Linked DNA regions of Arabidopsis thaliana. The protein of the gene in region 1 purifies or fractionates together with the protein of each later gene. This does not show direct contact. Each region holds a gene or a part of one and is shown in the gene's direction. Other genes may lie near its edges.

Region 1 (5,876 bases):
CAAAACATATAGAAGCAAATCAATAGATTGTAAGATATCTCCTGCACTAAACTAGGAAAAGTTCACATTTTGCAGCAAATTAGTTCATGTCAATCTCCAAAAAAAGTGCTCCAAGTGAATCTTACAAACAATTTGCTCGATGAAAGATAAACCAGTTCAACAAAAGAAATGAGAAAAAACAGCATAAATGATCTTAGACTCGAGATAATCAACTATAACTCTACTCAGAGATTCAGAAACTCAAGACTTATCATAGTAAACATCGAGCCAAGGCCTAAAATAAAAGACCAGACTACCCTAAGCATCTTCAAAGCTACGATAAACCCTAGAGACTAATCAAATCACAAATCGAACCTAAATCCTACTTGCGGAGAAGTTGATGAAGATTATGTTCGGCGAGATTACTCGAACACTAACAAAATCTAGAAAGGCTCTCTCTTTAAACGATCTCAATCGATTTCGTCGCCAGAAAATCCAACTCTACTCTCTCTACTCTCTTCTAATAGTTGGAAAATTGAAAGAAAAAGGAAAAAAAAACACTGAGAGGCGACAGCTTTTTATGACGACACAATTGGCTTTAAAGAAAACCAAAGAAACACAGAGAAAAATTTTAAAATTTCAAAAGGGAAGATCTTTAGAATTTATGAACATACCATAAAACAGCGATTTTGCAAATCGAAAATTCGAATGGAGAAGAAACTGAAACGCAGATTTAATAACAGCGCTAGATAACGTGGATTTGATCTAAAGGGAGAAGTGCAAGAAGTGTGAGAGTGTCTCGTTGACGACGAAGAATCCAAAAGAACAAAACGGCTCCAAAAATCTTTATTGGCGGTGTGATAATGTAAATAGAGTATCCAGTGAAGGGTATTTCTGGTAACCTTTTTAAATCTTTCATTGCGCGGCGGATAGAGCCATTTGGACTTTTGGAGGAGCGGGGCTACAATTATTTGTTTTTCACTAACAACACATAACAGTGATCAATAACAACATTGGAAAAACTTGTAAATTACAAATTAAATGTAGGGTATTTAGTTGTTTTAAGATAAGTATAATAAAATATATAGGTTTGAGTGATATGAGGTAATTATGATACAGTTTTGAAGTGATAACGATAAGAATTGTTGGTATGATACCGTTTTTGTTGTTGATAAGCTTTGAGACCGGGAAGGTGTATGTATACCACCATACCTAATACTATAAATTACCAACTACGCTCATAATCAATTATATAATTATAAATTTGGTATAAAAGTCGAGAAATCTAACAAAAATGATAAGGTTATTTCTCAATTTACTTTCATGCTTTATTTTTCTTCTTTATGTTTGGCAATAGCACCTAGTATTTAAACAATACATATAGTATTTCGACACATAGTTGCCCGTAATAAATTGAAATAATATAAAAGAGAAGTAATGCGTTATTTTAGATAGAAATCTGACATCATATATTTATAATTATATTTTCTATAAATAAAATATTATCTATATATAGTTTTTTTACACTTGGAATTATATATTGACCACACATCATGTGTTAAATTTTTTTTTTTTTTTTTTTTTTGCATTGATACTTTGGCCATATTTTAGTTTTACTCATAACATATTAGGTATAATCACGATCAGTCCTAATATTTTGAAAGCCCAAAAAAAAAAAGACTTTATTTTGAGATATTTTTTCACAAGGTAAATTTAATTTCAGTAAAAAAAGGGTTTTTAATAATTAAAAATATCTGTATATTAATATTTTGTATAGACTAGTTATATATTAATCAAAAATTGGGAATCCTAGACTATTTTTGTTTCATCAACTGGACCTGGTACTGGATCAAACGTTGCTGCAAACTAAAATGACAAAGCCCAAAAATCAAAACATACTCTCGGTTAGGGATTAGATCAGACCGGACGGTTTCCTACCTTTTCAAACGCTGTCGTTTTGAACTATAGAGTACCACAAACCAACGACGCCGTTTCACTTGGCACTATTTATTTCTTCTGTAGTTTTTTTTCTTCTCATACATATATCAATCAATCAAGATCACCACCACAAGGCAAAATCTAAACTCTCTCTGCAAAATTTCTGCTAACTTCTTCCTCCCATTTTCTTGCCATGGAAATCGATTCCGCCACCAACGGAAACTCTGACACCGTCATGACGGAATCCGCCGCTACGATCACTCCGTCGCCGGTCGTCGTCTCGTCTTCGAGATCGAATCAATTTACGGAATCTCTCAAGCTTGAGCACCAGCTCCTCCGCGTTCCTTTCGAGCATTACAAGAAGACGATCCGTACCAATCACCGTTCTTTCGAGAAAGAGGTCTCAACCATTGTTAACGGCGTCGGAGAATTGGCTGATTCCGATTGGTCTAAAGACGATACCGTTTCGCGTCTTACTTGCCTTGTTACTCGATTACAAGGCCTCAAACGAAAGGTTGATTTTTCCGTCTCTCTCCCTCTGTGATCGGTGTTTTAAATTATGTAGACGAAACTGAATCAATTAATTTAGCGATTAAAGTTTCTGATTTTGCTAAATGATATCCACTTATCTGTAAAAAATTTGATCTTCGATGTTGAAGATCAAAGTAAAGTATCTGTCTTTGGCAATTATGTCTCACTAGACATTGGATCTCGATGAATTCAATGTAGTGGTGGAGTTGGTTCATTGGAACTTCCCATCTGACTATTTGCATTGTCTTCTAAATTTTTATCATTTGGGATAGTTTCTATATCTTCTGGAGTAACATCACATGGATATGGCCTGGCTTACGTATTTTTTTGGTTTTGTATCTCAGTTGGAAGAAGGGAGCAATGTGGAGAATTTGCAAGCCCAGAGATGTCGTGCTCGCATCGATCATTTGGATTCAGTAGATGTGGAAAATATTACTGAATGGAATAATACCAAACTGAAACGGATTCTTGTAGACTACATGCTGCGGATGTCATATTTCGAGACTGCTACAAAGCTTTCGGAAAGCAGCAATATTATGGTTTCTCTCATCCTCTTGACACTCATTATATCACACTATTATGCTATATTGCTGTCTTGGTTAATATATCAGAACATATTCTTTGCTGTTTCGTTTTTACAAGCAGTGAAACAGATTTGTTGATTTGTACTGCATCTCTATGAAATGCTAATTATAAATATCTCATCTTTTCAGGACCTTGTCGACATTGACATATTTCGAGAAGCTAAGAAGGTGATTGATGCCCTTAAAAATAGGGAGGTAGCTTCTGCATTGACATGGTGTGCTGATAACAAAACGCGGTTGAAAAAGTCAAAGGTACGTGCTCTATGTACTCTCATGGTTAAGTTTTACTTTCATTTTTTATGAACTCCATGTGGTTTGGCTAAAGTATCCAATTTTTTACCAGAACTCTATGTATAATTGTTCATTGCTAATTATATATTTTCCTTTTCATAACAGAGCAAATTTGAGTTCCAACTAAGGCTGCAAGAATTCATCGAGTTGGTACGAGTTGATACAGCTGAGAGCTACAAAAAAGCAATCCAGTATGCTCGAAAGCATCTGGCATCATGGGGAACAACCCATATGAAAGAATTGCAGCATGTTCTGGCCACTTTGGCTTTTAAAAGTACCACAGAATGCTCAAAATATAAGGTGAAGTTTTCCTTCTTTTGATTATATAACTGTTGAAAATTGACGCTTCAACTTGTATCTTTTCCTAATGATTGATTTTGTCTGAAATGGCCCAAAAACGTGGATATAGATTTCACTGTTTCTTTCATACACCAGGCTGCTTCAGTAATCTTTTTCGTCTTTGTTTATTGCCGAATTAGTTGTGTTACTTTCAACTCTTGTCGAATCTTAATTGATCATTGCATGTATTTAGGCTAATCAACTAACAGATATGTTTTTCTTTTTTCTCAGGTTTTGTTTGAACTACGACAGTGGGATGTTTTAGTTGATCAGTTTAAACAAGAATTTTGCAAGTTATATGGCATGACGATGGAACCCTTATTGAACATCTACTTACAGGCAGGCTTGTCTGCGCTGAAAACTCCGTAACGATCAAACTCTATCAAAATTGATGTTTTTGATTGTCTATTTTCTGCATCTGATAAAGGGGCAGAAAGTAAGTTTTCGAAATGACACCCTAATGTGATTCTTACTGGTGGGTTGCGTTTGTACCTTGATATGACTCAGATATGGTTTAGAAGAAGGTTGTACCAAAGAGGACCCTCTCTCACAAGAGAACTTTCGGAAGCTAGCTTTGCCTTTACCGTTCTCCAAGCAGCACCATTCAAAGCTTGTTTGCTATATTTCTAAGGAGCTAATGGACACAGAGAACCCACCACAGGTGCTGCCCAATGGCTACGTCTACAGCACCAAGGTTTGATTCTGTTCTTGTACAACTTCAGCTTCTCTGTTCTTTTTCTCTTTTTAGAATCTTTTTCTATTAGCTTGATCAGTTACATCAGTCTATCCTATACAGTTCAAAAAATTTAAAGTTGGGTTACTTTTTTTATTTATTTGATGGGTAAATGAACTTGCAGGCTCTCAAGGAAATGGCGGAAAAGAATGGAGGTAAAATAACATGTCCAAGGACAGGGCTTGTCTGCAACTACACGGAGTTAGTTAAGGCATATATATCATGAACCCATATGCTCATAATCCTCACTTTGGTCACCTTTTCAATGGATGACTGGGAGGACAGTATTAAGGCCAAAGAAACTGAAATTTCCAACTTTCTCCATTACTCTTTGTGAATATGCACTTGCAGATAAAACTTTGCATCACTTTAGAAACAGCTCGTTCCTTTGTATATCAAGCCATTTCTTCATTTCAGTCTTATGACAATTTTCTAGTCAACATGGTTTTAGTGGAAACATGTTTGGCTGCTTTGCTCTGATATTTTTATTCATGTTTTTCTTCTTATCCACTAGTAGTTTCTGTATAAATCAACCGGCAAAGTACACTTTATTGTCCCACTACCATTTCACAAACCACAGTTCCGATTCTACTATCAGTTTCCTCACTTGAGGTGTATAATTTGGTTCTGTCTGGTTTCATCTATTTGGATACCATCCTGATTCAACATGTTCATCATTTCTCTTTTGTTTGTTGGCTTCGGAAATGGAACGAGGTATAATTCCGGATTAAGAAATAGAGTAACACTAATCTTTTTATTCACTCCAATATCTCAATTTATTGGTATATTGCTATCGTAGAGACTGTAAAATCGATTACATTGTCTCTGAAAGCAAGGTTGTGCAATAATGATTGAGCCATTCAGCTGCAGATCTCAGTACACGAAGCTCACCGTATAGGAGATCTCTTGCCATCTGCCTTCTAACAGCAAATCTTTGTGATACAAAATAGCATTCTTCCATTTCCTGCAAAGGCACCCACCAATAAACGTTTTTCAAAACCTACATTGTCAGTCATTGTGTGGAAATTAGTTGAGTAAAGCGTTCTATAGTACCTTGATGCAAACACTATGATCCTCAATCAATCTGTTGATGTGAGACAAGAGGATCTTATGTGCCTCCAACTCTCTGTTCCCGTCTTTAAAAGGAAGCCGAGCTAGTCGGCCATCATTTTGTGCAGCTTCTTTTGACAAATCATTTAGCTCTGAGAATCAACTATACTGTTAATACTTTTGGAATTAGCCTCGCAAGATGATAAAAGAGAGTGACTAATTTGATTTGAGCACCTTGGGGAATGATACAACAGAGAACACGAGCAAATGCACGGAGAGATTGTGGAATGCCTTTTCCTTTCCCTATAGCAGATTTCACTTCCCTGAGAGATCACCAAAAGTACACTTAGATACACATGTAAAAAGCACTGTTACTGAAACCAATTCTAAAGAAGTAGGTTCATTGGTATTTTCCTATCCACTGTTCACAT
Region 2 (6,618 bases), on another chromosome or scaffold:
TAAAATATATGCAAACCATTTTCACTATATTTTACATTCAATAATTTAGAATACAATTTTCATATATTTTGAACTAAACTTGATTTGCAAGAATTTTTCATATCTTGAAGATTTAAAATTGACTCCTAAACCTAACAATCTCTACAATATATTTAAGATTTTAAAAAATTTAGCAGCACTTCAATGTGCACACTATTTTATATGTATGTCTGCTATTGTTTTAACTCATTCAGTATTTGATTCATTTTCTTTCTTTATAAAAAAACAAGAACATAGAGTATAGATCCAAAATAGATTACAAAAACATAGAGTATGATCCAACGGATTTTAACATTGGGTGGATTAGCGTAGGATTATCGAATTTACTGATCCAATTGCGGAATTATATTGGAGTATGACACAATAAATTAAATACAGAAAATTACAAAATAAATTTTATTAAATAGAAAATATTATGATTATGATTTATGATGTAAACTATCAAACCAAAATTGCCACAAATATTTCCTCACGCTGCACATCGTGGATCCTTATCTAGTTTACCTTTAGATTTTCAAACCTCTAAAATTGAAATAATGTTTGATAATTTTCAATAATGCAAAAAAAGAATGAAGAAGAAATTCAATCAAAACAAAAGACAAACATATCACATATAAACTTCATTGTTCTGATGCTTCTTTGATTTAGCAATTTTGGGGAAAAATAAGTTCGAATGCAAAAATAAAGTTTGTAATTATTCAACAAAAAATTCGGGCATACCAATTTTTTTTCTTTCTTTTAATCGTTTGAATGCAATTTTTTTGTTCGGAATATGAACATGGCATGTAGAAAGATGAAATGCTTGCTAGAGCGTTGAAGTTTAGAGAAGCGTTTGTTAGCATGAAAGCTTTTGATACCAATGATAAATTTTTGATCTATTGAAACCTTTTAGTGTTATTATCACTTACTTTTTAGGCTCTAAGTATCCCACATCCAATGTATACTTTACACAAATATGGAGGATTGAGTTGTTGCTGAAGAAGTATGCTATTTGTGATGATGATGTTGTTGAGCAAGTGGCTCAAGAGATGCATGGTAAATTTTCCGAGTATTGGGAAGATTATAGTCTCATTTTGGCTATGAGAGCAGTTTTGGATCCGAAGCTTAAATTGAAGATGCTTGAAGTAGCTTAAAAGAAAGTAAATTCTACTACTTATAAGTTAAAAATTAAAGGGCTCGAGAAGAATTTGATGATATTGTATAAAGTTGGAACTTGGTGAATTAACTTAATGTGAGTTTTTGTAACATAAGATCTATTTGAACTAGAAAGAAGTATTGAAGACGGTGTGAACAACACAAAGACACACTTGGATATTTATTTGGATGAGAGTGAAAGTCTTTTTCGAAATTTGGATGTCTTAAGCTATTGGAAAGATAATCAGAATCGATTTGGCGGTTTAGCTTCTATGACATGCGATGTCCTTAGCATTCCTATTACTAAAGTAGCATCAAACTCAGCTTTTAGCATTGGATCGAGGGTTTTGACTCCATATAGAAATCGCTTGCTTCCAGAAAATGTTCATGTTTGCTTTGTACTCGCAATTGGCTACGCAAGTTTGTTGACTATGAAGGTAAGAGTTTTAAATTGAAAGCTTTATAGGTAATTGAATTATATTAATTAAATTTCATTGTAAATTGTAGGTACCACAGAAGATACCAATGAGTTTAACCATGGAGATACTCGAAAGACTACAAGTAGTTCGAGAGTAGAAGGTTCAAGATCGGAAAAATCAAGTGTGCCATGAAACTTTTGTTTTTTCTCTTTTGTTTTTGAAATATTTTTTATTTTAAGTTTTGTTTTGGTAATAAAACCACTTTTGATATTAAAAGTCTTTATGAATCACATTTGATAAAAACATGGATTTGATTTTACATTTTAAAAGTGTGTATGAATTAAATTTGATAAAACATGGATTAATTTTACATTTTATAAAAAAGTTTGTGTTTTTTTATGAATTGAAACAGCCAACTAATTGGTATATAACTAAATATTATTTATGAAATTTATATAGAGAAATATATATAAGAAAAAAATAAGTCTAACAAATACCGAAACTAGCGGGTCACAAAAATAAACAACGGATCAAAAAATAAATCAAAGAGAAGAAGAAATCTCAACAAATTCTCTAATTCAGTGTTCTTCTTCTTATAGACTCCAAAAACCTCTGAAGAGCCTAATCTCAAAATTTCTAGGGTTTTCTCTAATCGGAACCAAAACCAATGAACTCTTCACCACCACCGGCGAATTCCGCCAACGGCGATACAACCAACAACGGCGAGAACGGTCAAGATCTGAACTTAAACTTCTTAGACAAGATTCGTCTCTCCGCTAAACGAGATGCGAAGGAAGACGAAGGAGAAGAATTACCGACGGAGTTGAATACGATCAATAGCGCCGGCGGATTTCTTGTGGTTTCTCCTGATAAGCTTTCCGTGAAGTACACGAATACGAATCTACATGGTCACGATGTTGGTGTTGTTCAAGCTAATAAACCTGCTCCGATCAAGTGTCTTACTTACTACTTTGAGATTTTTGTTAAAGATTCTGGTATTAAAGGACAAATTGCTATTGGTTTTACTAAGGAAAGCTTCAAAATGCGTAGACAACCTGGGTATTGTTTTCTTTATCTTTGGATTTTGGATCCAATCTTTGTTGATCATTGTGTGTTGAAGTTGTTTAGGGAAGAATCTGAATTTGAAGGATTTAGTTCAAGAAGTATAGTTTTAGCTTGTAGCTTGATCATTGTTGTGTTTAAGGTATGGTTTATTTTAGAAATTGAGGTTTGTGGTATGGTTTTGGGATCCAAGTTGTGGTTTAGTTATTATAGAGATTTAGCTTCTTGGATTAGGTTGTGTGTGTTCTTTCTGGTGAGTTCAGTTGTGTAGAAGTGGTTTAGGGAAGAATCTGAAATTCGAAGGACATTGCTTTGTGGTTTATTTGAAAGCTAGGTTCTTGAGTTTACAAATATGGATGATAGTGCCTTTGAAAGAAGCTTTATCTGCCTAATACTTGAATTTGAGGTTATAGTTTTCTTTTGTAATGGTAGATGGGAAGTGAACAGCTGTGGATATCATGGGGATGATGGATACCTATATCGTGGACAGGGAAAAGGTGAACCTTTTGGTCCAAAGTTTACAAAAGATGATGCAGTTGGCGGTGGTATAAACTACGCTTCTCAGGAGTTCTTTTTCACGTAAGAAAGAAACTGTTTCATGTTTTTTGGTACTTAAATAAGTTCATTACTACTGTGAGTTGAATTCATGATTCATTCATTTTCCTGTTACTCTTTGTCTGTTAAAGCTGATGACATTTTTGATTATTTTTGTTGGTGCCAGTAAAAACGGAACTATTGTTGGGAAAATCCCCAAGGACATAAGAGGTCATCTATTCCCTACTGTAGCTGTACATAGCCAAAATGAGGAGTATGTTCTCACTCTCTCTTTAAAGATCAATACCATTGCCATCATGTATCTCACTCTCTCTTACACAAAGCATATTTTTCTGAAATTTTGGCAGGGTATTAGTCAATTTTGGGAAGAAGAAATTTGCTTTCGATATTAAGGTAAGAGGAAAAATCCTTTCAAACGTGGTTAATTAGGTCTCATAGCTTTATACTAAAGTAAGGATGGTGTAACCAGGACTACTGCTATTGAAATCACATAATAGGTATGCCTCATGTCCGTTCTTGGTACTGGGGTTACCGAATCTATAGCAGTGGTTCTCTTTGTAGACATTGCTCTCACATTTGCTATTTTACTGTTCCTGTGTAATCAAACCTCAAACTCTTGGGCACTCAAGTTATAATCTTTAAACACTGAAGTAGGGCATAAAAATTCTTTCCATTACATATATGTTTGAAATTAAGTAATTGACGAGGGCTGTTTCCCTCTTTCTGTATTATTAGGGATATGAAGCATCAGAGAGGAATAAGCAACAATTGGCTATTGAAAAAATATCCATACCTCCAAACATTGGTTATGGGTGAGTACACTCCTTCCCAGCAGTAACAGATCATGTACTTTTTTAACTTTGAATTGCAATACTTGGTTTCCCTTCTGGACTAGCTTTCTGCTTTATCTATAATTTTGTTTTCTTTATCATTAGGCTTGTCAAGACCTACCTGCTACACTATGGGTATGAGGAGACACTCGATGCTTTCAACCTTGCTACTAAAAATACAGTTCCTCCAATTCATATAGATCAAGAAAATGCTATTGACGAGGATGATTCATCCTATGCTTTGAAACAGAGAAAGAATCTTAGACAGGTATTGAACTTGCTACGGTTTAACATATAAGACATGTTATCTTCTAACTTTATTAGGCTTGTATCTGGCTTTTTTTGGTTCCTATTCAAACCCATACTAAATTACTGCTTCGTTAGTGAATTTGGACTGATTCATTCTTTATTGGGTGTAGCTTGTTAGGAATGGTGAGATTGATACTGCTTTGGCGGAACTCCAAAAGTTGTATCCCCAAATTGTACAGGTGAACTGAGATTTCTTATCATATTGTTGAGATGATCCACTTCACAGGATTGTGATACGAAGTCTTACCCGGCTGTACCTACTGCAGGACGATAAATCTGTAGTTTGCTTCCTCCTTCACTGTCAAAAGTTTATTGAATTAGTACGGGTATGCTCTTCATTCCTTAACCATCTAAATTTCGTGTTCTTAATACTTGTCAGAAATATTCTCTCTCTGTGCATATAAGAATAAAATTTTTGTAATTAAGGAAGCTTTTGATGGATTTGGTGTCTCATACAAAAATTAGCTGCTTGAACTGTGTGATGGACTTTGGTGTTAAACCATAAACTAGTGAAAAAATGCACAGAACCTATAACACACTGGAAACCATGTTACATAGATGCATGGAACCTTGTCACCGTGTATAAATATCACCTTAAGTTAGTTCTCTGGATTATTCCTTCTTTGTTCACTTTCACATCTATGCAGATGGGGCTATTTCTCTAACTATATGGTTTTGGAAAAACATGGCATAAACAGGTTGGAAAACTTGAAGAAGGTGTGAACTATGGCAGACTCGAGTTAGCTAAATTTGTTGGGTTAACTGGATTTCAAGATATAGTCGAGGTACCAATGTCTCCTTTACTCCTTTTTCTTTCAAGCAAGATCTGGTTTCTGAGAATATGTATGTATTGCGTTCAGATACAGAGACTATATATGTTGCTGCTTCGCTTAGGAACTCTATTTTCTTGTTGATTATTCAGGACTGCTTTGCTTTGCTCGCGTATGAAAAGCCTGAGGAATCATCGGTCTGGTATTTCCTAGAAGACTCACAGAGGGAATTAGTGGCTGATGCGGTGAATGCAGCAATACTATCAACAAATCCAAATAAGAAAGATGTGCAGAGAAGCTGTCACTTGCAATCCCATCTAGAGAAACTGCTAAGACAGTTAACCGTGTGCTGTTTAGAAAGGCGGTCACTGAATGGAGACCAAGGTGAAACATTCCGGCTTCGACATGTTCTTAACAACAACAGATAAAGAAGATGAAAATGGCTTAGCCGCGCATATATTTTGAAAACTCTGTTTTTCTATGGTCGTTATCATCATAAGTGGCTTTTGTTCATTACTTGTGTGATATTATGTTGAACTTTCCATTATGTAAAGGAGAAAGTTAGAAAAATGGGTTCGACGTTAAGACACTGGGACTTCCACTGTTATTGGTTCTTTAAAGTTTAGATGATTCAAATTAAGATTTTCAACATTCAAATCAGAAATGGAAAAACTGAATTAGCGGTGGGGGTGTTCGGGTTTAGCGGTATCTTTCGGGTTTTGTAACTTTTGTTCGCTTGGGGTTACCTGAAATTATTCTCAAAAAGAGATTTTATGGTAAACAGAAATTTTTATGAAGAGAATCTTTAATTTTTTATTTTCTTTTCATAATTTCATGTGACGATGTATAAATGTTATGATGGTAAATAAATATTATTGTAAATTATAATCAGTTTTAAACAATCGAGAAAAAACAAATTCTTGTTTAAAATGTAAATTTAATAATTATAATTACAATTTTCACATTTTCAAAATAATAGTAAATATGAAATTTGACCTATCCAATAAAAGCCCAATAACTAATGTAAATAGAGTCTATATTGATCATATTTAGCTTCATCCAATGCTTTTGTGATTAAAAACCCACGTGAAAAAAGGCAATGAGTCCCACATCGGATGCGAAAGCAAGAAAAAATGAAAGTTTGGCTATAAATAGTTAAACATACCGAGTGTTGAACATATATATTTTTCTCATGCTTTGGTTGAAGGTGGCAATAACCTCAAATATATCAGAGGGTGTAGATACTCAACGACTATAGGAGGCAATAACTTGAGCAAACAATTGATTGCAGAAATCCATCGACTAAAGCTGTCACCTGTTTGATTCCAGCTTTTGTCTCCTTACCTGTTGAGTGTCTAAACTCTCTGGTACGTTCATAGTTGTTGCTGCCTTTCGCTTTTTTTTTTACTACACGCAATTGTTTGAAAGAAATATTTCATGTGAATTTTAGATTATTTATTTATGTTCTGTCTCTTACTTTTTATAAAAATTCTAAACAAA

Evidence for each region.
Region 2: the proteins of AT3G55070 (region 1) and RanBPM purify together in Arabidopsis thaliana (affinity purification with mass spectrometry; 2 studies listed by BioGRID, with this or other methods). This does not show direct contact.

The regions. Positions count from the first base shown.
Region 1 is NC_003074.8:20,406,267-20,412,142, forward strand, and holds AT3G55070 (LisH/CRA/RING-U-box domains-containing protein), read left to right. Parts: upstream 1-2,007; 5' UTR 2,008-2,110; coding exon 2,111-2,431; intron 2,432-2,792; coding exon 2,793-2,987; intron 2,988-3,161; coding exon 3,162-3,284; intron 3,285-3,428; coding exon 3,429-3,623; intron 3,624-3,893; coding exon 3,894-4,027; coding exon of another isoform or gene 4,028-4,031; exon of another isoform or gene 4,032-4,169; coding exon 4,170-4,356; intron 4,357-4,519; coding exon 4,520-4,621; 3' UTR 4,622-5,098; downstream 5,099-5,876. Other genes in the region: AT3G55080 (SET domain-containing protein), read right to left, coding at 5,210-5,359, 5,449-5,597, 5,680-5,768.
Region 2 is NC_003070.9:13,050,564-13,057,181, reverse strand, and holds RanBPM (SPla/RYanodine receptor (SPRY) domain-containing protein), read left to right. Parts: upstream 1-2,088; 5' UTR 2,089-2,259; coding exon 2,260-2,651; intron 2,652-3,086; coding exon 3,087-3,233; intron 3,234-3,375; coding exon 3,376-3,462; intron 3,463-3,556; coding exon 3,557-3,602; intron 3,603-3,944; coding exon 3,945-4,021; intron 4,022-4,144; coding exon 4,145-4,307; intron 4,308-4,458; coding exon 4,459-4,527; intron 4,528-4,614; coding exon 4,615-4,674; intron 4,675-5,046; coding exon 5,047-5,133; intron 5,134-5,270; coding exon 5,271-5,546; 3' UTR 5,547-6,025; downstream 6,026-6,618.